Linked DNA regions of Alligator mississippiensis. The protein of the gene in region 2 binds, or shares a complex with, the protein of the main gene of each other region. Links are inferred from orthologs where the notes say so. Each region holds a gene or a part of one and is shown on either strand. Other genes may lie near its edges. The genes, in order: PIGP, PIGA, PIGY and DPM2.

What was found.
Region 1: PIGA (region 2) and PIGP share a complex: the UniProt entries of both Homo sapiens proteins name them as parts of the glycosylphosphatidylinositol-N-acetylglucosaminyltransferase (GPI-GnT) complex. The link is inferred for Alligator mississippiensis from reciprocal best matches to the Homo sapiens genes PIGA and PIGP.
Region 3: PIGA (region 2) and PIGY share a complex: the UniProt entries of both Homo sapiens proteins name them as parts of the glycosylphosphatidylinositol-N-acetylglucosaminyltransferase (GPI-GnT) complex. The link is inferred for Alligator mississippiensis from reciprocal best matches to the Homo sapiens genes PIGA and PIGY.
Region 4: PIGA (region 2) and DPM2 share a complex: the UniProt entries of both Homo sapiens proteins name them as parts of the glycosylphosphatidylinositol-N-acetylglucosaminyltransferase (GPI-GnT) complex. The link is inferred for Alligator mississippiensis from reciprocal best matches to the Homo sapiens genes PIGA and DPM2.

Annotation. Positions count from the first base shown.
Region 1 is NC_081824.1:295,040,212-295,048,117, reverse strand, and holds the start of PIGP (phosphatidylinositol N-acetylglucosaminyltransferase subunit P), read left to right. Parts: upstream 1-4,905; 5' UTR 4,906-5,053; coding exon 5,054-5,135; intron 5,136-5,141; exon of another isoform or gene 5,142-5,324; coding exon of another isoform or gene 5,325-5,367; intron 5,368-6,405; exon of another isoform or gene 6,406-6,458; coding exon of another isoform or gene 6,459-6,507; intron 6,508-7,601; coding exon 7,602-7,674; intron 7,675-7,906. Other genes in the region: E3 ubiquitin-protein ligase TTC3, read right to left, coding at 1-78. UniProt on the Homo sapiens protein: Part of the glycosylphosphatidylinositol-N-acetylglucosaminyltransferase (GPI-GnT) complex that catalyzes the transfer of N-acetylglucosamine from UDP-N-acetylglucosamine to phosphatidylinositol and participates in the first step of GPI biosynthesis.
Region 2 is NC_081824.1:322,975,232-322,982,127, reverse strand, and holds the start of PIGA (phosphatidylinositol N-acetylglucosaminyltransferase subunit A), read right to left. Parts: upstream 3,012-6,896; 5' UTR 2,926-3,011; intron 2,917-2,925; exon of another isoform or gene 1,034-2,916; intron 676-1,033; 5' UTR 604-675; coding exon 1-603. UniProt on the Homo sapiens protein: Catalytic subunit of the glycosylphosphatidylinositol-N-acetylglucosaminyltransferase (GPI-GnT) complex that catalyzes the transfer of N-acetylglucosamine from UDP-N-acetylglucosamine to phosphatidylinositol and participates in the first step of GPI biosynthesis.
Region 3 is NC_081825.1:151,545,336-151,551,200, forward strand, and holds PIGY (phosphatidylinositol N-acetylglucosaminyltransferase subunit Y), read right to left. Parts: upstream 1,201-5,865; 5' UTR 1,142-1,200; coding exon 926-1,141; 3' UTR 515-925; downstream 1-514. Other genes in the region: PYURF (protein preY, mitochondrial), read right to left, coding at 1,201-1,351, 1,452-1,606. UniProt on the Homo sapiens protein: Part of the glycosylphosphatidylinositol-N-acetylglucosaminyltransferase (GPI-GnT) complex that catalyzes the transfer of N-acetylglucosamine from UDP-N-acetylglucosamine to phosphatidylinositol and participates in the first step of GPI biosynthesis.
Region 4 is NC_081835.1:57,214,440-57,221,952, reverse strand, and holds the start of DPM2 (dolichol phosphate-mannose biosynthesis regulatory protein), read right to left. Parts: upstream 3,020-7,513; 5' UTR 2,921-3,019; coding exon 2,918-2,920; intron 2,814-2,917; coding exon 2,724-2,813; intron 1,104-2,723; coding exon 1,001-1,103; intron 736-1,000; coding exon 677-735; 3' UTR 1-676. UniProt on the Homo sapiens protein: Regulates the biosynthesis of dolichol phosphate-mannose. Regulatory subunit of the dolichol-phosphate mannose (DPM) synthase complex; essential for the ER localization and stable expression of DPM1.

The DNA.
Region 1 (7,906 bases), about 28 Mb from region 2:
CAACTGACAACAAGGTTTAATGCAGCCACCATAAAAAGCAATGCCAGCAAACTCTGAGTCAGGTAGAGATTTTTCCATGGTTCATGATCCTAGAAAGCAAAGCCAAAATATATGAAAAAAAATCACCTGTTATGCCCCTTTGACAGGGTTTAGAATGGCTGCAAGATTAAGTTATAGCACGTTTCATAACGTGTTCCCACACCATACCTATCATTTGAAAGCCATAAAAACCAGGGGGGGATGTTCCAATTAATAGCAAAGTAACCAAAGTATCTGAACATTTTGTATGAAAGTTAAAAAAGTATCAGACAATAAGTACCAGTCCACAGTAACAATCTTACAGAATTTTGGTCTGTGATTAGGGTGTAAACATGCTATGATTATAGCTAGTAACAGTGAAATGCCTGGCATTATCTAATAGTGTAAGAATGATGTTGTAGCCATGGTAGTTCAGAAATTATACAAGAGGCAAAGATTTCTTAGGGTGATATCTTTTATTGGACCAACTATGTAGTTGGGTAAAGTTAGACAAGCTTTTGAATTTAAGACATTCTCTCTCAGGTCTGATCATAAGGCCTGGCTCCCTGTGATCAGACCTGGGAGAGAATGTCTTGCACTCAAAAGCTTGTCTAAATTTATCCCAACTACATAGCTGGTCTAATAAAAGATATCATCCTAAGAAATCCTTGCCTCTAGCATTTCCTAGAAATTTTAATCCGGAAAAGAAATAGAGTGAGTAAAGGGATTTTCACACATTGAAAGAGAACAGCTTTAATCATGAAGAATCTATGCTACAAGTTATTCTGTGGTTTGACATAAAATTTCTACCTGCTCACCCATCCACCCCCCATCCCAAATCAGTCTGCAATACTGTGGAGTGAGGTCCATTGCCAGCGACAAGACGACCTTCGGGAAAAATACTGGGCTGAGGGATTGCAGGGAAAGGATGAGTGCAAGATCCCCAGAGGAAAAATTTAACAAAATATCGTGGAAAGCTGTCCACATAACACTGAACTAGTTCACAGAGCAACAGTTCAAAATAATACCTGCTTATCTCAATATACTTTTGAAACATTTTAGGAAGGTTAAGCTGTTCTAAACTGGCTTGTATGTCCAGATGCTTGCAGTTCAAACCACATTTTAAACGGTCTGTGTCTGTCAGTACCTTTTATAACCCTACACGCAATGCAACAAAAATTCCAGTTAGTAAAATACTTAATGAGAAATACAGGCTGTTCCTGAACCTAATGAAAACTAAATACAAGTATACTCATTCAGGGCACCTACAGGAGCCCACCTACTCTGACACAGGCTAATTAGCATGTGTCGGAACATGGGTCAGACACCTGTGTAGGTGCCCTGAATAAGTTCACTTGCATTTAGTATGGAGTCTGCTGGAGCATGCTAATTAGAGCTGGAGCTAGTCAGTGTGTGCTAATTAAGGCTCAATTAATGGAGCTGGATTAATTGAGTCTGCTGGAGTGTGTCTATTAGGTTGTCACATGTATTCAGAGTTCCCATACTTCAAAATGGTGGCAGGAGCCATGCTGAATATATAACATGATGTGGGTGTTTTAATGAGAGCGGCTCTCAGGAGTCACTTAATTAAAGTGCCCCCCCACCCCAGCGCATGTAAAGATGCCCTCAATGACTGACAACAGGATGCAAGTAAACATTAGGAATAAAAAACCAACCTGTAAAAGCATTAGATAAATTTATCTGGGGTTGTATATACCCAGGAGACCCCCTCTACCCATCCCTGCATAACTATCCCTTAAACTATAAGTACCATAACTGTTTACACAACACCACAGTGGATTTGATTTAAATCGTATCAATTTAAATCATGGCTGAAATCACAGGACAGGAAGCCTCAATTTAATCATTGTTTTCTACAAAAAGTGCATCCTTGTTGTTTGATATCCATTGTTTGAACAATGCTTCTTTGGGATAGTTCCCTTTATAGAGCGCGCGCGCGCACGAGAGCGCGCTTCCAGTTCCGCGTGTGGGAAAAGTAGTGGCCTAGAGATAGCAAAAAGTATGGTATACCACTGAATGAGGTTCTAGCTCATTCGAGTGCCAATCATATGGAAAGAAGTGCCTCTTTAAAGGTGTCTCAGTCTCAGTGTAGATTTCAGAACTGGTGTTGGCACTGGTGTGACAGCTTCTGGGTTGCTCTTGCCCCTTCTCTGCATTACCAGTACCCTTGCTCTCATCGCTTAACATTGCGACACTTAAAAGATTTTTCTTGGCTTGAGTTCACCTTATGGATGAACATGTCATATGCTCCAAGATGCACCTCAGACTTGGTACAGGTATATCACCTAGCACCTAAGGCCAACAGCACAGGATTCCTTTCCCGGGGTCAGCATCAATATTGCCTGTACCAATGTTACTCTAGTCAGAACTGCAGACCCTAGTATCAGAGCCAAAAGTATTGAGGGTTTTTTTTGTTTAATTTTCTCCTTTCTAAGATCAGGTATAATGCCTGCTTGCCAGAGCACTTTTTAAAGATATCCTCCAAGCAAGAACTGTGGACACTGCTTCCTGTACCAGACTAAATATGACCTTCACGAACTACTCCAAGGAGTGTGCATCACAAACCTCGTGTCTCTCAAGCAGCAGACAGAGCACTTGTTAGAGATGTACTTTTCTCTGAGGCAGAAAAAGATGTTTCCTGTGTCCACTGATAAGAGTAAAAAGGTCATCACAGGAAGGATAAGTTAAACTCCATGGTTTACAGGCCATGACACAGGAACAGCTGGTCACCCTACTGGCTTTTTTTTTTCCTGGATGTTCCATAGCAATTTTTGAATGAGAATTTAAAAAGAGGTCAACAGCTGTTTCTTCATAAACACCAAGTTCTCAGCTCAAGAAAAACAGAAACCCATGAGATACAGCCAAGGAGTTCTGTTGCTAACACTGGCAGTAAAATCACCCTGAGAGAAGGTGAAATCAACTCTGCTACCTACTCACAAGAGAGCATGAGGTGATAAAGATGATAAAGCCACAACAATTCAAAAAATTCCAAACTCATTCATGTGAGGGGCTTGCAAACCAACAGCAGACAAAGCTACTTGAACAACATGCTGTTCTGGTTCAGAAAAGATGTGAACATTTTCTCCCCCTCAGGCCCCTCCTCTGTGCTCACTTCCCCCCTCCCCCGAGTGGCTGGCCTCCCTCTCTGCCTACATTTTTCTCAGTTTGGCCTGGATCAGCAGGCTATAACACTTCCTGTTTAACAAAAAGCTGATCTGGGTTACAGAATCCTTTTCAGGAACCCATAACCAATGCAAAAAGCCAGAGTGGCTCAAGACAGCTTCTCAAAAAGCAGCATAATCTACTTTGCTCATCAAAATCTAGCAAGAGGCATTAAAATAAAAACAGCAAGGGAGAAGGTATTTCTCACTTAAACCCATCCTGGCACTAAGGTTGTTGGCTGTAGCCGTATTGGTCTAAGAACACAGGCAGACAAGGTTCTTTGGGTAGATGTGATCTCTTTTATTTGACCAACTAGATAGCTGGAAAAACTGCATTTAACCAGCTAGACAAGGCTCGATCTTTGGCTCAATCTGATGTCTTTTATTAGATCAACTTAAATAGTTGGAAAAACTTTTCTTAGCAAGCTTTTAGGTTTAAACCCTTCATCAGGTAAACACCATTTTACCAGCTACAATTATCACCAGGTCAACATTCCCCCTCCCCCAACCACCCTCCTGTCTCCCATTGTCATTCACACCTATTGTCTCCCATTCTCTCTGATCCTCCCTGCCAGGCATTTGCATTTGCACAGACCTGCTATCTGCACACTGGCTTCTCTTCTACCCAGGACAGCACACAAACACCAACAGACTCTCCCCATGCCTGAAGAAGGCTGCTTGTGCCCGACAGCTTGCAAAGAACAGTTTTGCAGGGTATTTAGTCGATCTAATAAAAGATAATCACATCTACACAAAGAAACTTTGGCCCTCACCGTTTTGCAAGATGCTGAATCGTATGGGGGGGAGGGGGAGAGGGGGAAGGATGCCCTGCCCCTTCAGCAGCTGCCTCTGCTAACCACAAACAGCTGTAGCCTGCAATCACCCCCACCACCAACTGCCCTTTAACCAGCACGGTACACCCCCTCACGCAAATCCCGGGGGAATTGTGCAATCCAGACCGGCCACACAGGCGAAGCCACCCATCGCACCCTAAAAACATCAGCCCGGCTCCCCAAACCGGGTTTGTAGAGGCCTAGTGACTAGAAGTAGCTTCCAACCATCTTTCACGCCAAGGCTTGCGGAAGCACCCGAGACCACAGGACCTCGGAGCCTCCGCCTGACCCGAGCAGCCCCTGCCTGCCTTCCTCCACGTGGCAAATGGGCTCCCCCACAGCCACGGGGCGTGGGGGCTGTAGCCAGATCCCACCTCAGCCTCGGCCCGGGCCCCAGCCCTGCGCGAAGCCAACACAACGTGAGGGGGGGGGAAGAGAGACAGGAAATGACAAACCGCCGCCCGCGGGACCCCTACTCACCGGCTCAAGGCTGAGACTCCCAGCAGCCGCTGCACCGCCGCTTCCCGCCCGCGCCGCCGTAAGGGACGGGTGGGGCTCCCGCGGCGCAGCACAACAACTCCGCCCCAGGCGCACGGACCCCTTCCCGCCACCCTATTGGCTGCCCGACTTCTGACGTCAGGAACGTAAAGCATCGATCTTCGCAGCGCCCCCGGGCTAAGGGGGGCGGGGTGGAATTGTGTTAGGTTTCACTCGCCTACGCAAAGGGCCAACCGCGGTTGTTCGCGCGAGAGGAGGGGGGAAAAAAAAGGCGGGGGAGGGTTCGGTTCTCTCGCGCATGCGCGGGTGGTGACGACACTTCTGTAAGGCGGTGAACAGAGGCAGCGGCAGGACGCTTATAGGCAGGGCATAACGGGCTGGGGTGACGTAGCCGATGTTACCAGCCGATTGGACGCGGGACGGCGCCTGCGCAGCGGCCTCCCCACCCTTTCTCCTTCGTCAGCTGGCTTCGACCCGAGGTGGTGACGTCAGTCCCCCGCGCGGAGGCGGGACCGGGCCGCCATGGTAGAGAACTCGCCGTCGCCGCTGCCCGAGCGCGCGCTCTACGGCTTCGTGCTCTTTCTCGCCGCTCAGTTCGGCTTCAGTAGGTGCCGCGGGGAGGCGAGGGCGGGGCCCGGCCGGGCAGACGCGGCCGGAGCTGGCCCCGCAGGGCCGGCGTTGCCGGGTGCACGATAATTATTCGGTTTCTCCGATAATTGGAACCCTTGTACGATGAGCACTCAGTAATGGTAATAAGCGTATTCAAAATGTCCGATCGTTTTTGAGGTAGCGGATGGATGCAGCAGATGCAAAACCCATGTCACTGTCGGGGAATTGTAAGTGATGTTTGGGTTCACTGTCAGCGCTCGCCTTACAATAAAGAAATGCTTCAACTTTTGACTTATTGGCGACTTACAGTGAGCAATATGAAGTAAAGAAGAAGGCTTATTTGCATATTTGTCACTGTACAATAGTTTTTCAGCAAATATGATAATTTACTATTTAGGACCTGGCAATGCTGTCCAGGACAACCCCAAGCTTTGCTTGGCCAGGCGGGCCCAGGTGCAAGCCCAGCTGGGTCTAGTCTGTGGCCCCTGTTTCAGCCACCTCTCCCTCCATGGTCCTCCCGCTCAGAGGGAGGAGGGTCTCTGTTGCTGAAATCGCCCCTTGCCCTGCCAGACTGCCTGCCTTAAGCCAGCCTCAGGTGCCCCGGTGAAGAGTGGTGCCTTGGACCTGCCTCTACACTTTATGCATGACCAGGACCTTGTTCCTCTGCTGCTGGGGTTTGCTGTTGGATAGATCAGGCAAAGCTGGGTCAAGATTGGGGAAGCCACATCTGAAGTCCTGCATCCAGTTTTGGGCCCCTGCTGCAGAAAGTAGATGGACAAGTTGGAGAGAGTCCAGCAGAGGGCAACAAAAATGGGTCAGAGGTTGGAGCACAGGACTTGTGAGGAGAAGCTGAGGGAATTAGGCTTATTTAGTCTGGAGAAGAGAAGACTGAGGGAAACTTGATAGCAGCCTTCAGCTACCTGAAAAGAGGTTTGAAAGAGGATAGAGCTTGACTGTTCTCAGTGGTGACAGATGACAGAACAAGGAGCACCAGTCTCAAGGTTCAGCAAGGGAAGTTTAGGTTAGATATTAGGAAAAACTCTCTCAGTAGGAGGGCAGTAAAACTTTGGAACAGGTTACCCAGAGAGGCGGTGGAAGCTCCATCCTTGGAGGTTTATAAGACCCGGCTAGACGAAGCTTTGGCTGGGATGATCTATTTGAGGGTGGTCCTGCTGTGAGCAGGGGGGTTGAACTAGATGATCTGTGGTCCCTTCCAGCCCTAATTTTCTATGATTCTATGAATCAACCCTTGTCTCTTTTTTTAGCTTTAAAGACTAATTTGGAGACCTATGAGATGTTACTCAAGTAGTTCTCAACCATGGGCTACTGTGACCCCTTTAGGAATGCTGCTGGAGTGTCATGCAAAGGTAGCACTCTTAGGTGCATGCACATGATTACCAAGATAAACCCAGTGACTTCAGACAGTAATCCAATGCATTTAAAATCATTCTGCCCCTGTTGTGGGCTTTCTGAGCTCTCTGCAGGAGAAGACTTGCTCAGTTGTCTTTCTGTAATTAAGAAAGGAGTAAAAGCTCAGCGTTGACATTTTCCAAGGGGTGCCTTGAGTCTAAATGGATGCAGGGGAGGGTGCCTCAAGTCTAAAAAAGGTTGAGAACTGCTAGGCTACTTCATAGCATCTGCCAAAATAAACTGTTGCCCTTGAAAGCCCAGGTTAGTTTCTGAGGCGCTGCCCTGCCTTCTACAAAGAGTTGTGTGCATGATGCTGTTTGTGGGGTTGTCCTTCTCCCTGATATTTTGGACATGCTGGTTAGAGGCTAGCGAAGCTCAAAAGGAGTAGTCAAATTTGTGGGTGATGAAACTGTTAACTGTTATTAGAGCAATTGGAGGTGTATCCTCTGGCATCTCTAAACCAATGATGGTAGATGCCAGGGATAGGATGTCTATCACGCCAGACCAGGCTGGTCAAAACGTTGAACATCAAGTGGATCACAACTCTGCCCACCTCTAGACCATACTGTTGCCGCCACAGGATCCTGGCCCTAGAGCAGCTCCCATCCTGCCACACACCCTGCCAGCACTACTGGGGCCAGTCTCCATGGAAACCCTGGTCACACACTGTCATAGGCCCACAGCTGCTGGGATCTCCACGGAAATGGGCCACAGCATGCTGGAAAATAGAATCCAGCCACCGGCTAGATCCACCATTTTGCCCACCTCTGCTTTAGACATACCTGTTCCAGCCTTTAGATTTATCCCTCTAAAGCATCCACTCCTTTATCCATCAGAGGCAAGATACGAGTCATTGGACTAACCCAATATGGCATTTATGGTCTAGTAAGGCCTTATGGGAACTACTGCTGTAGAGCAAGTTGTCATTCATTATTTGAATGATTTCTAATGACACTACTGTAAGTGCTTAGAACTGGGGGGTTTTTTAATTCTGAAATAATGTTTATTTTACCATTGTGATCAAAATACTAACTTCACTTCTTCTGTACAGTGCTATACCTTGTGTGGGCATATGTTCCTGAATCCTGGTTATTCTCATTGGGACTAACATACTGGCCTCAAAAGTAGGTTCAAATCATTTAGTTTATAAAACTATCCTTGTAAAAATACTTGATAGTCTTTGAACCTTTTTTTTTCAAATAACAAAACTAGAAATGTACCAGTGCTATTTATGTAGCATAATAGGTCTTGCATTTCATCCAGTTTGAAAAAGAAGACTTACTATTGTTCCTCTGACAGACAACTGGAGTATTTTTGCAAAAACTACCCTCCACAAATAATAATTTGCCCTGAAAA
Region 2 (6,896 bases):
CTCAGGATCCAGTGCTGCTCTTAGTACAGTATTTTCCTTGCTAGTATAAGAGACACAAATGATGTGATTTGTATCACACAGTGACACCGTTAGGAGTTTGTTTGTGAGTATTGAACTGACATCAGCAAATCCAAAGAGAGAATGGTCTGTAAAAACTGTCCGTAAGCCCATTGTCTTGGCATGAAAGAGTGCATCATGAGCCATGGCAGAAAATGAACTATGGGAGTGGATTATGGTGACTCTCTCTCGCACAAAGATGTACCTGAGCAAAGGTAGACTGTGGAAGAGTGTTGTTGCAGTAGATTGATTGTACATGACCTTCAAAGGCAAGTAATATACCTTCAGACCATTGGTGAGATAACGAATGCCTTTTCTATTTCCATACGCATGAGTGACAATTATAACTTTGTGCCCTCTTTCAATCAGGCACTGTGACAGCTGGTAGATGTGACTTTCCACTCCTCCCATGTTTGGGTAAAAAAAGTCAGATACCATGCATATACTGTGCGTTCGAATGCCCCATGCTGGGGGTCTCCCACAGTTAACAACAGAGAAAGCAGTAGTGAGAGACTGCTCCTGATCTCCTATTTTTCTGCAAGCCATACTTGGAACAAGTTTAACAGTCAGTCCTTCCAGTAGCTATTCGTAGTATATAGGTAAAAAGCAGGCTCAAATCTGAAAGGAGAAAAAAGAAAATAATTATGGACACAAATAAAATAGCACACAGTTCAAGACTGTTATTTCCACCAGGACATTCATGATATAGCATCATAACCATTTGTTTCTTCAAGGTTGGCACTAGCTTTTGAGAAGTCCCACGCAAAGTAAAAATGTTTGTTCAGTTACAAGTACAGTAGAATGCGCTGGCTTCCCTAGGCACATCCTGGCCTTGACACATTTTCAATAAAAATATAGCAAGTAAAATATAACGTTTGTTGGGTGAGGGAAGTACTCTCATTTCTGAGGCTCGCTGTGATTCCCTCCCCTCAATCCACAAGCCCTAAACAAAGGAGATTAAAAACAACCAACCAACCAAAAGAAGTGTCAGGAGGAAGGCAGAAGACTAGATCCCCTGCTGCAGCTATTCTGTGAAGACACCACAACACTGGAATAGAGAACGGGGGATAATCCGCAGGATGGATCAGCTAGTCACCAGTGAACTTTGCTGCTTTGCCACGAAAGCTGCATAACCGTGTGAAGCATTCTCATTCTGCGAAGCACTCTCACAGCCACACAGCACTTCCCAAAGAACATTAGACTGTGTAACAAGGGCAAAGTCCCTACTTGGAAGGGGAAAAGGAAATAAAAGAACACAACCTAGGGAGTGACTGAGTTTCTACACTATATGCTTACACCAGAGGTTCCAGGCATGTAATCAGCGTTCATATTATTCATCAACTCCAAAGGGAGTTTCCGATAAAATTAAACAAAAGCACAAAACAAAATACAAAATAACCTCCCCCAACAAACAAATCTATATTTGCAGATGCCTTGGCAAGACAATGTCATGCTTTCTACAGTGAAACCATCTATGACTACAATACGAGACATTTAAACAAAACCAGTTGGTTTTGTTACAGGTCGTGCAACTACAAAATCATAGGGTTGGAAAGAACGTTGAGGGGCAGCTGGTCAAACCCCTGCCCCCTGCCGTGGCACAGGAGGTGCTTTTTCTCAACTCTCCCAGGTGGAGGAAGATGAAAGTCACAGAGGTTAGAGCAGCCAGGCTGGCACAGACCTCCTGAGGTCCTCGAGTCCTGCCTGAAGAAACTCTGGCTGCATTTCTCTCTGCATGTTTTCATTTACATGCTCCCCATCTACAGCCCCACCAAGCCCCAGGATATCCTGGTCAACCTCCTCCTGCCCTTAGCCAAGCTCACGATCCATCTGACTGGGAAGGAGGCCCTGGCCAGGAAGACCTCCACCAGGGGCTTTGGGGTCAGTTTTCTGTCCCTCATCCACTTACATCTCTGGGAAGAGCTTAACTAGGAAGTGTCCACTGACTCCTTGGACTCGTTCAAGGGCCTGTGGGTGCTGCCCAGTGTGCTCTGTTTGGCGTTTCCCTTTGGCACTCTTGTTACTAAGCTCTGACTAGCATTCCCATCCCTTTCTTCTTTAGTATTATTTGTCCCCATCTTGTTTGGAGCGTGGCAATTGTGGGGCCCCTTAGCCTGCCACATCTCATGCATCGGTGTCCCCACGCTTCCAAACAGCAGCAGGGGCTCTTGACCTCGAGCTCATTGCACAAACTTCAGTTCAAGCGCCCTCGGGGCCATTCCGCAGTGCAGAGATGTTGTCAAAGCACCGCTGCGTCTCATGTATCAGAGTCCCCCCACTTCCAAACTGCAGCGGGGGCGCACCCAAGAAAGCTGGTTCAATGAGCTTGAGTTCAAGCACCCCCGCTGCCATGTTGACACGCGTAGACACCAATACACGAGATGTAGCGGTGCTTTCATTAGAGCGGCTCTTGTTAAAGAACTCTAATTAAAGCACCAGCCCCTCCCCCAGGTGCCCGTGGTTCTCCTTGCTGGGCGCCCTCCAAACCAGCCAACAGGCCTGCCCAAAGCAGCCTCCAAGGAAGGCGATTTCCCGCCCTGCTCCGGGGCGGACTTGCAGCGATACAATTTGCTCCCCCAGCATTGATGCCCTGCCCCTGTAGTCCAGTCGGGGGACAGGTCTCGGGGCACTTTGGACAGGGCTGAGACGGGGGCTACATGAAGGGGGATCCTGGAGTCCCCCTAGCACGAGGGCCCCGCTCACAGGCGGGAATGGGTCACTCCTGTGCCCCCGCGGACGAGTCCACCCACACCCTGGCGAACGCTGCCAAGTGGTTCAGTCCACCGCGGCGCAGCCGTACCGAACCGAACGGCCCCGCTGGAAGGGGAAGGGGACGGTTGGTAGAGGGAGAGGGACGGCGTTACGCACTTGCCGGCTCCCATCGCACGCGACTGGCCCCCACTTCCGGGTGAGAAGCGGTTCGAGCACGCGCGCTCAAGACCACTCCTGTCGCCCGAGTAACCGCCCTTCCCTTCCCAGCGCCGGATGTGTAGGGCGGGCACGGGGCCGGGCGGCCAATGGGACCCGCCCGCCATTATCGGCGAAGGGAAGGAAGGGAGTGACGTCGGGAGTCGGGAGTGACTGCCCGTTCTTTTAACCGTTTCTTCGCCAGTAGGGTTCCCAGCTGGGGGGGCGGGGCAGCAGGGGGATGCGGGGCGGGAGCGAGGGGCACCTGCCAGGCTAGGGGGAGAAGAGGGCTGTGGGTCAAGAGTGAGGAGCACTAGCAGGGCTGTCGCTTAGGAGTGAGGGGCAGGGCATATAATTGCCCCCCCTCCCATAATCATATATTTCTCCCCTCCCTCTCTGCCCCCCACCCCTTTTTTTGGTACTGGAAATATGCCCCCGACCATGCAGCTGCCCCGGCAGATGACCTCCCGCCCCAGAGACCTGGCGCTAGAGCTCCCGCTGCCAACAGGGCAAGGGGCTGTGGGACGTTGGCACCGCAATGCTGGCTGGGCCCCAGTGCCTGGCAGGGAGCATGTTCTGGAGCTGGGCATGGTGGTGCGGGAGCAGGTCCTGGGACTCCTGGCCCAGGAAATGCAGGGCTGGGGGTGGGCAGTGCAGTATGGAGGCTTGTGCTGGTGCCACGCCTGGCCCCGGGGGTGTCAGCTGCAGCAGGCAGCGGGCAAGAAGCCCCAGGACAGAGTGTGTACCCCTGCATGCTGCTGTCCCCATCTCTGTACATCTGGGGGCTGTTCTCTCCCAGCTCCCAGTGATGCATGGCTCTTGTCCCCAGGTCACAAGGAGCGTGAAGGTGGTTGAGATGTCCTCCAAAAGGTGCAGCCCAGGAGGGCACTGCAGGGACCCGAGTCCTGGCTGAAGCAGCCAAAGGCCTATGGTACAGACATGGCTCTGAAGGAGGGAGGATAGAAGGGCACCCCAGGGGCTCAGGACAAGCTACCTCGTGTCCCCGAAGAGGAGCCCCTGCCTGAGCAGGAGCCAGGTATGGGACTGGATGCAAACACACTGGAAGCAGGGGTCTGGGTGCCTGAGGGGCTGTCCTGTGTGCAGGGGGAGGGGCTCGAACATCTGCACCGGCTGCAACAGGGCCACCGTATTTGTAACTCTGGGGTGGCACAGAGCTCTTGCCTCTGTGGTAGCAGCTTCCAGGCTGGGCTCTGGTCTTTCTGCCTGCATATGTGCAGCACCCAAAAGAGAGAGGCTTTGCCCGGGGGGGGGGGGGCTTGTCATGCTGCCATGAGAACAGTCAAGGACCTAATTCATGTTCCTGCAATCAGTGCTCCCTGCCCCCTTTCTCATGCCACATGTGCCCACAAAGGGGCTGGGGTGCATGTCGGGAAATGAGATTCCCCAGGGATATCCGCCTGGTTCAGGTCCAGCTCATGCCAAGCCTCTGTCCTACTGCCAACTGCCCCAAAACCGAGACTTGGGAATCATCAGTTGATAAAGGTGCCTTAGGCTGGTGCCCTAGACCAGGCCCTTCCCCCAGGGCTGGGATGGAGCAGTGGCTCTACCCTTCCTAGTAGCAGCAGGCACCTTCCATCAGTGGAGAAGTCTGCCAGGACATTTGATGAGGTCTGCTACACCAGATCAGCTGTTCCTTTCCTCCCCGTGCCCTGGTAGTCCTGCATATGCTCTGGAGAAGATGGACTTTGCATTTCCCTCCCCTGCCCTTACAAGCTGGATGCTGACACAATACTAAGGTCCCTGGAGCTTGTGTCCCAGGGAGCGATGTCCCTGCCAGCTCTGCCATGGTGCTGTGATCCTACCCCGCACTGCGACAAAGTCACTCGGGGCTCATCCCCAGCTCCAAGCCTGCGGAGGCCCATTAGCAAGAACTGTGGGGCTTTGAGTCTTCTTTCTCCCCTGTCTCCCATGTGCTGAGGCCTCTGACTGCCTTAGTCCCAAGCCAGGACAGAAAAGTAGCAGGGCTCCCCACTGCCCGCAGAGCCAGGGCTAACCTGTGCACTGTGTTCCCCACCTGCAGGGGCCAGGACCCTGAGCAGAGCTGAGCAGCAGCCTGGTGAGGAAGGGCCTGTGTGCTGCAGAGGACATCCCCAGGGAGCCTGGGAGAGAGGGGCTCCCTGCCCCTTGAGCCGGGTTCAGTGCAGAAGGGGCGGTGCAGGCCTTGGCAGCCGAGGGAGAGCCTGGAGGTGAGCAGGGCACCAGGTGCACCTGGGGCAGAGCCAGGAAGAACCAGGAGTGCAGGGAAGAGTGTGGAGCGGAGCGACCTGCAGAGTGACAAGCCTCTGATGTCAGAGGCTGCAGACGCACCAAGCAGTCATTAGCCGGAGCTCACTGCCAAGGGCCAATGGCCAGAGGTACTGGCACAGGAAGGCCTGGGCAGAGTCCATGGGACCAGCGCTTCTTCCATAGACTGAGGAAATAGAAGGGAATAAGCTGGGCCAGGGCAGATACATGAACTCCTGCATCCACGGCTGAATCCCCAATCGCACATCAGCTGAATGATGGGGAGCTTTGCACCACTGCCTGTCACGACCAAGCTTGGAAATAGCTGTAGTGCAGAATGATTGCAGACAGGACTGTTGGGGCTGAAAGCAGCTGGCCCAGGAGACACTGATGGTGCAATGCTTGTGCTTGCAACTCCCAGAGGTTTCATGCTGGAGGAGTGGGAGCTGCTGGATGATGAAGGCAAGGAGCTTTATCAGGACTAGAAGCTGAGGAATTACCAAGCTCTTATTTCCCTGGGTAAAGTTCTGCTCCTTGTTTCTCTCTGGAGCCACATGAGCTCTAAAGCTTATTGTCTTCTCCCTGTTTTTCAAATCTCATCCTCAAGGCCAGGGGTTGAAATCCACATCCTCCCCACTGCTGTGTCATTTATGAGGCCTCTCATGTTTCACATTAATATATCCTCCTTCATTTCATTTAACTGCCTTCACCCAAGTCTTCCCCATGCTTTGACTCCTGATGCTTCCCTATTCAGCCATTTCTTAGCAACACGATCTTCCTTTGCCTTCCCAGTATTTTCATATCATCTCCAATTCATTGATGCCCCAGCAGAAGGTGATGGAAGTCTTATCAGCCTCTGGTGCTCCCACACATAGATTGTGCATTTCCTTGGCTTCTTCTGCTGTGACGTACATGTACCTGCTGGAACCCGAGTACTTTTCACTAGGAGTCACTGGAAGCTTCTGTCTACATCTTTCAAAACATCTTCATCTCCATAGACATGGACTCTGACTTTGCTGGATTTACTTGGAGACCTGTGCTCTCAAGCTCACTCTGCTATTCTCAGATGTTTTCTTGTCCTCCTTCTACAACCCCTCTTCATATGAGATTCCCATCACTGTGATAGCCCACTTCTTTTTATCTGAAGAGCCAAGGGAAAACCTGTTTTCCTTTCCAGAGAGTTTCTCATCCAGGGACTTTCCTTTTACTAAGTCAGTTTGTTTTTCTGGTGCTTTCTTTTCCCTCCATTTCCCCCAAAGGATTTTCTTAGGGAAGGGGCCCAATGGTTTTTCTAGCTCAACAAAGACCACATAGACCATTTCTACACTCTGGGTGTTCACATGCTGTGAAATGTGCCATGTTCTATCTTCTTTTGTCCATATTCCTGACTTCCAGGAACTTTGTTTTAAACCCTGCAGTATTTGCCAACCTGGGCACTCATCTCCCCTGCTGGGATGAAGGTCCCTTGGATAGAATGTTGCTCGACTTGTGACTACAGTTATAATAAAATCATTCTTTCCTGTGCTCTTGTGATGAATTACCTTCTTTCCCAGAAAAAGGTTTCATCGTCAGCCATCATCCTGAATTCTTTTCACTGCCCTGAGCCCTGACATTAAACCTTCAGTGAGAAGAAACTTATTGCCACTCCTTTGCTCAGATTTACACTGATAAGTGTTATCTGTCCAGAA
Region 3 (5,865 bases), on a different chromosome or scaffold from region 2:
CCTAGAGCAGTGGGTACTTCAGTGGGTCAGCGTCCCAATCCTGACTTGTTCTCAGTACTGCATCTCCTCAGTCAATGTAAAGCTAGCAAGGGGGAGTGTTAGAAGGCATTTTTGAGCCTATTGCCTTATTGTCAGCTGTTACAGGCCACTGCCAGTTGGAATAAATTAAAGCAGCTGCCAAACTACTATTTCATGGCACTTCTTGCCTGAATAATTGTGCCAGACCTGCTGATCTAGAAGGAAATCATATTAGAGTGACATGGATACCCCACCTTGGTTTTTTTTCTAAAAAGGTGTGCTGTGTTGGATGTGCATGGATGACTACCCTCAAAACATGGCTGCAGTGATCCTAACAAGTCTAAAGCTCACATGGATTTAAAAAAATCTTTGCACAGACAAGTTTGCTGTTGCACAGTGTTTTGATTACACTGCATTTTCATAGCACAGTGCCAGAAGCATTTCATGAATAAATCTGTTCAACCTAGCAACGCACCTAAAGACAGACACTGCCATCTTTAAAGAGCAGCCCACATTACTGTTTATTATTAACAACCTGAGTAAGTAATTAAACTGTATCTCAGTCAGTAGATGGAGTCATTCAGGGCAAAGACAAACACCCACTGTAATATGCTTTCACACTACTACAGTGCACCTCTGGATTTTGAGGGGCAAGGACAAATGTACTTAATTATCTTTCCTGGCAGAAATTAAGCAGTCATACACAAAGTCCTCTGTAGATCATTGTGAAGTGCCAGGAAGAGGGTGATAAAGGTCATCATTATTGAGAGAGAGCAAGGGAGGAAGAGACTATCCCAGTTACATGGAATATAATATTAGTGTACAGCTAAGATAAGCTACACAACTAGCACAGAGGCCCTGTGATTGATGAGCTCACTGGGCAGTGCCCTCGGGCTGTCTGCCTGCCTTAGTTGTGTCTAAAAAGTTTAATGCCCATCCAGGTCCACAGGTGGAAGAACACGTACACGGGGATCGTAACAGGAAGCAGCAGACTGTAGAAACATAAGCTGCTGGTGCTGGTGCAGCCCTGTGGGAAGTTTTCATCCATGGTGGCCGAATAAAACAAGCCAACCAAGGACAGCAGCGGGACAAGCACTGTCAGTGTAGGCAGTGACAGGAACATGACTACTGCTCACACATGAGCCTCTCAGTCTCTAGCTTTGCTCTCTGGGACAGCACTATCTAGCTTTGCTTTGACTCCTCGCCAGTGGGGTGAGGGGGCTCGGCCTCTATCTTCCTCGCCACCTGCGGTATCATGTTAGGGATGCCGTCCACCACCGGGTAGGCAATGCCCAGCTCCTCGTTGATCAGCTCGTTGGTGGATTCTTCATACCTGCGTGAAAAACGAACAGGTCAGGGCTGCGGATTCAAGGAGGAGAGTCCCTGCACACCTGTGTGCATATGTGTGTGCGTGGGTTCACACAAGTGCGTACCGGAGCGGGCGCTTGGACAGCGGGCACACGAGCAGCCCCAGCAGCGCGGGGTCCAGCCTGGCGGGCTGCGCAGAGCCCCGGCCGCTGTCCGGCCCACGCGTCCCGCCCGCCGCCACCTGCAACCCCCTGCGCAGCGCCGCAGCCCGGCCCAGCATCGTCCCACGCGCAGCGACTTCCGCCCGCCTGCTCGCGCCACTTCCTGCGCGCTGGGAACCCGCTCCGCCCGCGCACCGCCCCGCGCTTGGGTTCCGGGGGGAGGGGCCGTGTGTACACCCCCACCACCCGCGCCCGTTCACTTCATCTGGTACCTGGGCTTGGCGGGGGGGGGGGTGTTCTCTCTGTGTCTCTCCCTGAGGTGTTCCGGGCTGCAGGCTGACAGGGCCCGGCTCTCTCCCGCCAAGGGCCCAGCTCTGCAGTTCTGTTTCAGAGCGGCTTTGAAACGAGACCTACAGGTGTTTACGGAGGAAGGCCCTGCCCTGAGTCTGCACGGTGCTGGCCTGGACTTTTGAGTCCGGCGGCTTCGGTCATGTTTTCCCTTTGATTCCCAGTGAATAAAGGTGTGAAGTCAGGAATGTCGGAGTTGAAGCGTTCGCGGCGGGGAGCAGAGGCACAAGCAGCTGCTTTCACGTCCAGACGGGATGGATTTTGCATATGCAAAAGGTCATGCTCCCGTGTTAGTTGGGAAGCTACCCACATACTGGTATTTTCTGATGTCAGCATTCCTCACATTAAGAAGCACCCACTCCCAGCCCCTGGGGCACTGTGCTGGAGGCAGCAGGGTTCGATCAGTGGGGCTCAGTCTTTTTTTGGATCACCTTGGAAAATCGCAGCTCTCTTCTTATGCCTACAGAAAAATAAGAGGAGGGTTGGGTTTTTTCCTGTAGTCAAGAGCTCGGGAGGCCACAGTGGCAGATACCTATTTGACATCCCTGGGTTTATCTCATGAATGGTGCTTGAATGCCTCTTAGTGCTGGCATGGCAAGGTCCCACACACCACCCTCAAAAGGAGCTCGTGGCCCCTTGGTTGGGAATTGCACTAGATTGGGGTGCTCGGCTCCTAGCCAGTCGGCTGAATGTGGCCCATGGAGTCATGGCATCCAGCCCATACAGCTCCACAAGGGTCAGGGAGGTTGGTGGTGAGGGCGCAGTGGCAATTAACATTGCAACCCCTCTCCCATGCCAAGTTCTGGAGACCCATGTGGCCAGATCAGGGCTGGGTTATGCTCCCTCATCCTGCATGGCTGGATCATGGCAATGATGCCCCCCTTGTTCCCTTCCATGTGGCCAGGACCTACTTCTCCCACTGGATCGGGTCCACCATCCAGATCCAGCCCATGGACAAACCAAGCCCAGCCCATCTGGACCATGGGGCAGAAAGGTTGAGCATAAATGAACCTTGACTAGGTGGAGCCCATCTCCTTCTCAGTGACTGTCTATACTATGTTCTATTGTATGTTCTACTATGTTCATGCTTCTGGGCTTTGCTGGTTGCCACATGGGGTAGGAGGGAATTCCCTGTGACCTCCCCCACTCCCTTTCTGCTACATGTGAGGGCCGGGTTTTTTTAAGTCTTTCTCAGAGGCATTGGTTACTGGCTGCAGCCAAGACTGGGGACTTTGAGGTGTGCCAGTACTCCTGCAGGAACTTAAAGCTGGAGGTTCCTGGCTAAAGAGTCATGCCCCTCAGACTGATCACCTTAGTTGGGGGCAGGACGGAATTTTACCCCATGCTCAGACTGGTACTGACTGTGGGGGGGTTGCCTTCCTTTGTACCCCTGGGGGGTGGGGGGCTCTATCTGGAATCTCTTGAGTGTATATTAACAACCTTTTATAGAAGCAGGACATTGGCTGCCATGATCCCCCTTTTTTATCCACGGCAGGTTATTGTGTTATGTCTTGTGTTGTGTCAGGGTTGATGGTAGTTTTACAAAGAGTTTAGGTTATGGATTTGTATAGAATGGTTTGGATAGGGCAGGGGATAGAATGGTTCTTGTCTCAGGCAGGGGATTGGACTAGATGGTTAGATTAGGCAGTGGTTTTCAACCTGTGGTCCACAGACTATGTCTGATGGGTCCGTGAAAGATGACTGATCAATCAAAAGTATGTGAATAGCCACACTTACAATTTAAAGGGGTCCTCACCATCATTTGAAATGTCCAAAGGGGTCTGCATTTTCATTCAAATTGTTTTAGGGGTCCTCAAACAAAAAAAAGTTGAAAACCACTGGACTAGGGAGTTGGAAAGCGCCATCCAGCCTGACTTCTCTATAATTCTATGCTATTCCTGCAGCGTGGCTGGGGCCAGGATCTGAATGTCTCCAGGGAAAACCGCAGCTGAAAAGTTCCCAAGCAGGCCTGCTTGTGTGATGCATGCTCAAGGGCATGGCAGGCTTCTGAGGGGCTGGAGACTATTCCTGCAGTTTTGATATTCATCGTAAGTTCCTAACTCCCTCCTGGCCAACCCTGTGTCATAAATACTTGCAGGACTCCTGGAACAGGGTCAACCTATGCCCCCTGATCCAGCAATTGCTTGAATGTTTCTTGGTCAGTGTCCAGCTGGAGTTGGGAAATATAGGAGGAGGGGGGGGTAGAATAAAAAACACTCTAGAAGTGATGCACATAGATCATGACTGAGAGAAATTAAAGCAACTAACTTTGAAGGAGTGAAATCTGGGCCAGGGTCCCTGAAGCAGCACAGGTGGCTGTTAACATCTGTGAAACTGGCAGCAGTGAATGTGTTTTGGGAGTATGTGCAATTGTGCAGTTTGCAAATGCTGGTTTTGATTAGGATGCTGCCTGGCCTCAGTCCAGGACAATTTTTTTCATATTTGAGATGAAAGTCCCAGTTCAGGGAATCACAGGGGATGCCAGAGCATAGTCCTGAAACTTAGGACTGTCTCAAAAAATCCAGGACCATTAGTCACATCAAGATGGACTGAATAGGGAAAGGTATGCATAGTATAGGGAGAGATGCTACCTGAATGTATTAAAGACGTCTGTGAGGAAATATCCTTGCATTCTTTTAGACTTTTTGGCTTATGTGACTGCTACACACACTATCAGTCTTCTGTAAGATTTCCTAATTCATCTTTAATGATAAAATATTATGTGCCATAAGTCTGATATCAATGTTTAGTCCTTGGTTCTTAGTGTCCAGCCAGCTTATACATTTTTATAGTTTTATCATTTCTGTACCTTCATGACTACAATATCGCTCTGACACTACCAAAAGAACAAGTGAGTTATTCTTATTCCCATAACAACAAGAAGGAGGTCTAACTGTATTCAGCAACTCACATTCTAGGAGTACAAAGTTTTGTGCAGTAGAGTAAAAAAAATACAACTCACATGGTCATGGCACAGTATAATATATAACAGACCAATTTAAAATGCTGAGTATTTAGTACATCAAATTAAAATGTGCTAGTACCTGTAGTTTCCAATAGATGGCATCACACCATTTATAAAGTAATATTTAAGGTTAACTTTGTAGGCATTTACAGTAATGTTTCTTTAGTTTTCTGGAATGGCCAGTGTCTCCAACCTGTTCTTCTCCTCCAGAAAGATCCAACAGCTTTGGAAACAAAATCAGAATCCTGCTTATCCTTTAAGCAGGAATTTGCACAGCAAGCCACAGTGCAGGCTTGTTCCTTGTGTACACATTTGCACGTGGGCGTAAAACATTACCAAGTTAATTAATGCAGGTATCAGTACTCCACCAGGTTCAGTCTAAGCAGTGACTTCCTGTGCTCCAAAGTGCCCCTCAAGCATGCTGTGCTGCTCTGAACAGCTTGTTCCCTAGACTGGAAACACTATAGCTGCATCTGTTCAGTGCCACAGGCAGGCTAGTTAGGGAATAGCAAGTGAATTGGCAACATCGCTTAACAGTACTAATTAGTTAGCCTGAAATACTCAGCAAATGTGGCCACCTGGAGCAGTGCAGCCTGCCTGAGGATGTGGCTCTGGAGCCTGGTAAATGTACTGTTGTAGATATGGCTGAATCTAAATTGAGGTCAGCCAGACAGAAGCCTGGGAACCCATGTGCTGAGAGATGGAGACTCAGGCAGGAGTTGGGGTCCTCTGGCTCTGTTGGTGGAATTGCCTCCTGTGCCCTGGGGTAGGACAGTGTGACAACTGTAGATATTGTAGGGCTTACTGCCACTGCCAAGATTTCATTTACCCACCGGCGGTGACAGGATGGACCTTTATCTCGGATCACCTGGTCTGCCAGGAGACTGATCTTACTTTTCTCGCCTGCCACAGCTTTGTTGGTACTGTTAATAGGAGGCAATACCCTGAGATGATCCTTCAGGTCTTGAATTCTGTCTTCTTCTGTAGGGCTCCAAACCTCCCCTTTACCCCATCCTAGCCACTCCAGGTGAAACTCAAAGCTTCTCTTTGGCTTGGTATTATGCT
Region 4 (7,513 bases), on a different chromosome or scaffold from region 2:
GATGCAGCCAGAGAGCCTGGGTGAGCTCCGTGCAACCCTCCTAGTGCTATGACTACCATTAGCACAAAACAAGGTTTGCTGCACCCACTACAGGCAAGTAAGAAGAGAATCTGTCCCTAGCTACCAGCCTTGGTCCACAATCTCTTGGTTTTTCACATAATAGATCTGATTTGTAAACTCTAAAATAAACACTTGAAGGACAAAAAATAAAGCAACAGAGCAAGAGGTGTTGCCAGAGGCAGAGATCCAATGGAGCCAGGCAGCCAGCTATTTGTTCTGCTCACTAGTGCTGCCTTCTCCCCTTAACACAGGGCAAGTGGAGGCTGCACAGAGCTCCCCGACTGCAGAGTCCCGAGCTGTCAGCTGTCCTGGTCAGCCCGAGCTGTCAGTCTGTCCTGGTCAGCCCGAGCTGAGGTAGTTTCACTAAAGCCGAGGCTCTGGTCCCTGTCTGGATGTGTATGATATTCAGCCAGTTTCTCTTTCATTTGATCAAATGGCTGGATGTGCTCTGCAAGGTAGGAAGTGCCAAGAGCATGGTGAGGCCCAGCATCCAGGCTATAACACAAAGAGTCTTTGGTTGCGGGAGGAAATGGCCACCTGTTACTGCAGGTCAAAGTCTTGGCCCCATCAAGACACTGCAGGTAGGAACCTGCGCCCATTCCCATGCCCACTGTCTTCAGTTCAATTTCTTGGCAGGTTTCTTGTTCTTCCACATCACAATCACTATGAAAGTCCCTGAGAGAGAGAAAGAAAAAATGTGAAGAAAATGGCCAAAAACCCTATAAGTACTACAGCTTTCTAAACACCATTGCTATGCGGAACAGAACCACTTCACAGGATGAGACCAGGGCAGCTCCACTGTGCAGGAGCTCACAGCTGGAGTAGGCAGGGCTGTAAGAGAGGTCACGTGGCAATTGCTTCCAAGTAGCTGGGCCAACAGTGACCAACCAGCTTCTATAACAGATTTCTGATCCCAAAACAGAAGAGAAATGTTACTCACCTATGAACAGCAGCAGCAGGAGCCCTGCAACCACAGGAATGGTAACAGAATATTCCCTGGGCAAGAAGTATTTGTGAATCCCGTGATTGCTATCAATGAAGGGCTGCAAGAAACAAAGAGGGGCATCAGCAAGCTGGGGCAATATGCAGCTACTTGCCAGCACTCAGACATTCCTGCTTGTAGGGACAGAAGTACAAGCCTTAAGACTGACAGTTAACAATGATGCTGATGGATAGAGAATAGAGCCAAGGGGCCACGAACTCACCCCTCCAAAGCTTGTCTTGATTTCTGACTAGCTGCCTGGCACTGAACAACCTGCTCAACCTGGTGAGCGTCTCCCATGCTTCACTGGGCAAAACAGAGACAATATTTGCCTTGTTTTAGACACAAGGCAAAGATCATCTTTCACAGAACTTAGAACAGACTGAGCGTTACAGAGCAGCACGTGGGCTGACAGCAAGGCATAGGGACAATGAAAAAAACCCAACCATACTGAGTTTGCAGCCGCAGAACAACGAGCTGAGAGGATGTCAGAAGTGAGCACCATTCACAGCACGGCCAGGAGCTGTCAGGGATCCACATGCCAAGCAAACTGAAGCAAGTCTCCAGACTGGCCTTGCAGGCTCAAAGAGACGCTTCCTCACCAGAGATGTGGGTTTTCCACAAAATTTTGAATTGGAAAATTTTCTGGAAATTTTTCCAATGCCCTAAATAGAGCGTGATCTGATTTAACACGTTTATTTGATGTATATCAGTAAGCAAAACTAAAAAAACACCCCATGTTAATTTTATGTCTCGACAGCCACAAGTATTTTAACTGGAATATTTAATTAAAAAAAAATTAACTACAACACACTTAATGTGATTTAAATGTTACATTCAAACAAATTCAAAGCAGAGCTTTGATGTGGAAAAAAAATTACTTTTATTGGCATACTTGTAAAAATGTAAAGGCAATATACAACAGCACGTACTTCCCTTACATTGTTTAAATTTAAGAAAAGACAGTGGAGGCACTGAAAAATGTTGACACACTAATTTTAGCACACCCAAAAACTGTGCATGAGATGCCATGACTTGGTTTAGATTTGACCTGCACAGCCAATCAGGTGAATTCATAACTTGATTTCTGGATTGGAGGATTATGTGAGTGTATTTACACATCAATAAAACATATGTACTCTCTCTCACACTTCCTAGGGATAATCACCCGAAACACGCGAATGACAACTTTGACACTGCCGAGCTTGCCTAACAGGGCATTGGCATCCCTTCGTTGTTACTAACGAATTTTAGGAAACGATGAATTTTTAGAAATGGAAAATTTCCCACGGAAAAATAAAGCGCTGGACAGTTTTCCACCCCACGATGCTCCTCGCCCAATTCCCTACGCGTCTGTGAGGCTTTCCAGGACTGCGATCGGCTCAGTCGCTGCTCACTCGACCCAGGAAACGGGGGACCCCAGAAGCGCGCGGCGATGGGAGCGCGGCCCCTATCTGAAGCCCCCGAGCCGGCCGGGGGCTATTTGGAGCTGCCAGCGACGGCCAAGGCGGGCGCCTGTGGCAGCTCTTGCTTCCCCCTGACTAGGAAGCCCAACGCGGGGTGAGGCGGTGACCCCTCGGCCCCTCCAGCGCTGCCAGCTCGTGCCCCGCGCCCCCCACGCGCGGGGGGGGGGGGGGGGGACAGGCAAGGCCCGGGGCAGCCCCTCCCGCCGGGCCCGTACCAGCGCCACGATCCAGATCGTGTAGTAGGTGAAGAGCGCGAGGCTGAAGGCCACCAGCCCGAAGCCCACCAGCCGGTCCGTCGCCGTGGCCTGTGGGCGGGAGAGTAGAGGCGGTCAGAGCGGGCCCGCCCCGAGCCCCGACCCCCCTCCCTGGCCTGGCCCGGCCCGGCCCGGCCCGGCCCGGCCGCCCTCACCATGGCCACGCGCTGCGCCGACCCCCCTACCACCGCCCCGCCCACTTCCGGGAGCCGCTGCCCAATCCACGGCCGGGATTTCGGCCCCGGAGCACGACGGGAGCTGACCCCAGCCGCATTGCACCACGGGAGACATCATCCGCGAGCCTTTCCTTTCCCCGGGGCATGACGGGAGGCGCCCGTCCCCTCTTTCGCAAAGCTTCATGGGAGCCGTAGTCCCGCCTGGCGCGGGGCCTGATGGGAGATGTAGTCCCCAGGCTTAACCCCTTGGCTGCCATGGGGGGTAGGGAGCTGTCCTGCTGCAAGCGAGGGCCGCTGGCAGGTGGCAGCGATGCAGGGAGTGCAGCCAGCTCGGCACCTGCACCCTGGGTGGCCCTGCCTGGAAAACCTTTTAGTATCGGGCCCCAATTTGCCAGAGAGCATGAGAATAATAATTGCACAAAGGAAAAAATATTCCCCTTTCTGTAATTTGCCTATGCCCGTGTCCAGCCCTTCGCAGGACGGAGCCTCGTGAGCCGGCCAGGCTGGAGCTCCGCTAGCCCAACCCGTGCACCCGCAGAGGGTGGGGTTCAGCCCTGGGGCGGCTCCGTGGGCGCAAAGGGGACCCTACAACCCAGCCCCGCGCTCCTTGTTCCCCTCTGCCCTCCTCCCACCAGGTCAGGCCCAGCAGAGCCACAGCCCCCAGCCATGCGCCTCCCCGCTCTCGTCTCCCGTTTCCCCGAGCAGGATGGGCTAAGCCCACGTGCTGCCCCTGGGCTGCTGCTTGTTCAGTGGGGCGAGCGGGGGTATCCAGGTGAGCCTCTGCCCCTGCCTTGTGGAGAAGGGGACGGCCAAGGAGCCTCCAAGGAAGGTCCTGGTGCACAGGGGGCAGGAGGTCTTGGCCTTGTTCAGAGCCCATCAGCTTCACTGGCATGATCCAGTGATGGCCATGTGTTGAATAGTCAAGCAAGGAGGAAGCCCAGCTGCTCGGGAGCCAAACTGAGCTCAGCCACAGTGAAGGGAGCAGAAAACACCCATTCAGAGACAGTCAACAAAGCCAGAGGTTTGTTACAGCCAACAGGCAGGAGCGGGGCTGCGTCCCGCTGGAGAGGTTTCTCAGGAACCCCAGTGCAGACCTATTTGCAGAAGCGACTTGCAGAGGTGAAAATCAGTGGGGCTTGGCATCCTTAATCACTTAGGTGCTTTTGAAAATGTTCCCTCGATCTGTTCACAACATACACGTAAAATCCTCCAACGTGGCTGGGGGGAGCGGGGGTAGGGCAGCATGCAGGAAATTTGAGAAAGAATTTGTGACGCAGGCAGGAGCCGAGCAGTTCTGGAAAGAATCCGGCTCCACCCTGCCCAGCCCTCCGTTTCCTCTTGCAGGGCCCCTAGCTCCCACGGTAAAGCCACCCACTATGTTGGCCATGGCTGACGAGAACAACAAACTCAATTACAGCAATGCTACACACGTTCTCACTGTTACTTATTACGGTAAGGAGATGCTGTGCTGGGGGCAGAGTGTCTACGTCAGGAAGCTTGCCACCCTGATCACACTGCATGAGATAAAACACTGGAATTCCCCAGCTGAAGACTTTAAATCTGGAATAAGCCTGTCCATCAGGGTAGGATGTGGCAATTATCCTGGCAGTGGATGCCCCTGCATGGCCAAGGTGGAAGACAGAGCGTCTCAAGGGGCTGGTTCACCTTGGGGTCTGCAGAGCCAGGGAAATGCTCCGGTTTGGAGCTCTGCCCCTAGGAGCCATGCAGGGCTATACTTGCGTTTTCCTGCAGGACAATGGGGGTGGTCACGTCTTGGGGCTCCTGCCCTTCCCCTTGGATCTCCCAGTTCTTCAGTCTTGGCTCTTTTTAGCTTTTGGGTCTGTGCTTACCAGTGCAGAGGCAGGTTCTGCACACACATAGACAGACTGCTGTACACAGTTCAAAGGCACATCAGGGTCACCCAACCCCTGTGGGGGCCAAGGAGCATAAAGCAAAGGATCACCACATTTGGGGGTAGGGATGCAGGGGCAGAGACCAATTCAGGGCTATGAGGGAGGCTTTTAGGGCCTCCAAGGCATTGGAAGCTGCTCCGGGATTCCTCTGGGACGTGCTGGGGTGGGACTGGGACAGGTTCTTGTGTGGGGGCAGCAGCCACTCTCCCTAGGTGGTGCTAACACTCCCCCTGGTCTGTCTCCAGCCCAGCCCAGCAGCCCCTCAAAGACTCTGGCTCATTTCAACTGCAGATCCTTGCATTTTGCCTCTTGCATCTCCAACCATGCCAGCCCACACAAACTGGTGATTTTTATTCAGAGCCCCTGTGCCTGCCCCAGCAGCTGCCAGGCCAAGGACATGGGTCCTGCCCAGGTCATAGCAGACCTGCTCAGTGCAGCTGTAGCCCTCTACCTTCTGTCCTCTAAGCCGGAACTTTAGCCCCAACCTCCACGAAGGTACAGCAGAAGCCACATTCTCTGGGGAACAATAGAAGCACTTTCCCTTCGCTCATAAGATCTGCTTAGATCCAGAGCAGTCTGTGATTCACTTTCTGCTGGCATCTGGGTGGGAAATGATGAGATGACCCAGGGAGCTGGCCAGTCTTGGGCAAGGCATGTCTGTATGGGGATTTTCCATATTGCAAATGGTTGGAGTGAGCCAAGAGACCCAGCTGCAGACTGGGAGGCCTGGACCGTAGTCCACTTAGATTCAGTTACACACAAGAAAGCTACAGAAAAAGCAGCACATGAGACGTGCAAGGGCAAGCACTCAGGACCTGGGAAATGGGGCACTTTGAGCAAGCCATCTTCATTGCCCCTGGACACTCACCTTAAGTTCTGAGATCACGCATCGCTTCTCCCCAGAGTCCTGGCCTGGCTGTGCACACGGCCTGGCCTGGCTGGTGCTCACTGCACAAGGAGTTGGGCAGTACTTTGCTTTCCTTTTCACCAAAGCATCTCTGGCCACAGGCTTCTATGCCCTCCTCCCCATGCACAGGGTTGCCAGGATCCCCATCACCCCTGAGCAGCGGCTCCAATGCAGGTCCTGCAACACCATTACTGGCTGGATGGCAAAACCCAGCCAGATTCCAGCTCACCCAGCAGGCAGCAGAGTCTGAAAAGAGGTTCCCCCTTCAGCAAGGCTGGGGCAGCTCAGCTGTTAGACCAAAACGCCTAGTTTCCCTTGCTGTGGTTCACAGGTGGCTGGGGCAGATTTCGCCAGCTCCATACTTTACACTTACACCTCTGGAATTGCTTATGGGGCTGGTGCTGCAGACAGAGCACCGACATCCAGGGGATGCTCCAGCTGGGATGCTCCAGGTGGTGGCATTAGACCCAGGGGTAAGGAATTGCTCAGGGTACCAGGCAGGGGAATAAAACCACAGCAGATGGTGGAAAACACCAGAGTGCAAGAGTCCTGACAAAACACGGCACCGTGTGCGAGTGGCCACAGGTCAGGTGTGAATGTCTCTATTCCATCCCCTCCCCATATGTAAGCCAAGGGGACAGCATAGGATAAGAAGCCAGCAGCCAGCCCTGCACCCCATCTACCCCTGCCCCACCTGTGGCCCATATCATGCTTAGAAGCTCTTCGGAGTAGGAACCATCTTTCTGTTTAGCTTTTGCCCCTGGTCCTGGCTAGGGTTTCTAGGTGCCACCCCAGTGCCAGCAACAGAGATCTGATGTACATAGTTACGGCCAAAGGCTCCAGAGTTCAGGGTGTGGGGGAGAAGTGTTTCAGCTTCCCATCAGTCAGTACTAAACATTTGTCTTTCTGCGAGCAGCAGCAACAATGGGACCTGTGGAAAGAGATGCTCCCTAGTTTGGTAGCACCAATCTGCTCTCCACTTATTTTCTAACCCTCAAAGAGGCAGGACCAAGGCCTGAATTCTCATGGGACTGCCTGTGGTTTTGCTCATCCCTCCCTCAAGGGCACATGAGTGAGAAAACAAGCCTCCCACTTCCTAAGAAGTTGTTGTTTCCCACCAAAGTGCCACAAGTTTTAGAGAAAGGGTTAAGGTCAGCTCACTGGAAGGAAACCGCATGGAAAGCATGAACTCCAGAGGAGCTCAGATGCAGAGACTTATTTAGCGGGTTTTGATGATTGCAAGAACCATGCAAGAAGATAGAGCCCTGCTTCAAAAGCACTGTCACCCAAGACCGGCCACCTCCTACACAGCAGACAGGAGCAGACTCTGGGAGTTGGGCCTTCATCCCTGCCCCAGGCTACCTGAGCCTTCACATCACTGCAGACAGGCCCAAGACTTGCCCAAGCTGGCTCCTCAAATGCAGCCTTGAAATGCTTGAACAAAACGTTGATGTAGAAAAAGCTGAGAAAGCAGGCAGGAGCCTCACAGCACCCTTTGTGGGGACACCTATGCTTTGAATTCCTGCAGATGTGTCTGCAACTGGCCACATCAATGGCAGGGACTTGGTTAAACCTTGACAAGTGTCCAGGCTTGGGCTGCAGCTTGAATTTAAGCTGCTGAACAAACCTAAGCAACAGCTGGAGGCAGTTCAGCTAACATCATCAGCCCTTAGCAGCAGCCCTGAAGAATACAGTTACATTTAGCTGATCAGTATTAACCCCTAGGGCCATTAGGTAACTTTATTAGTAGCATGC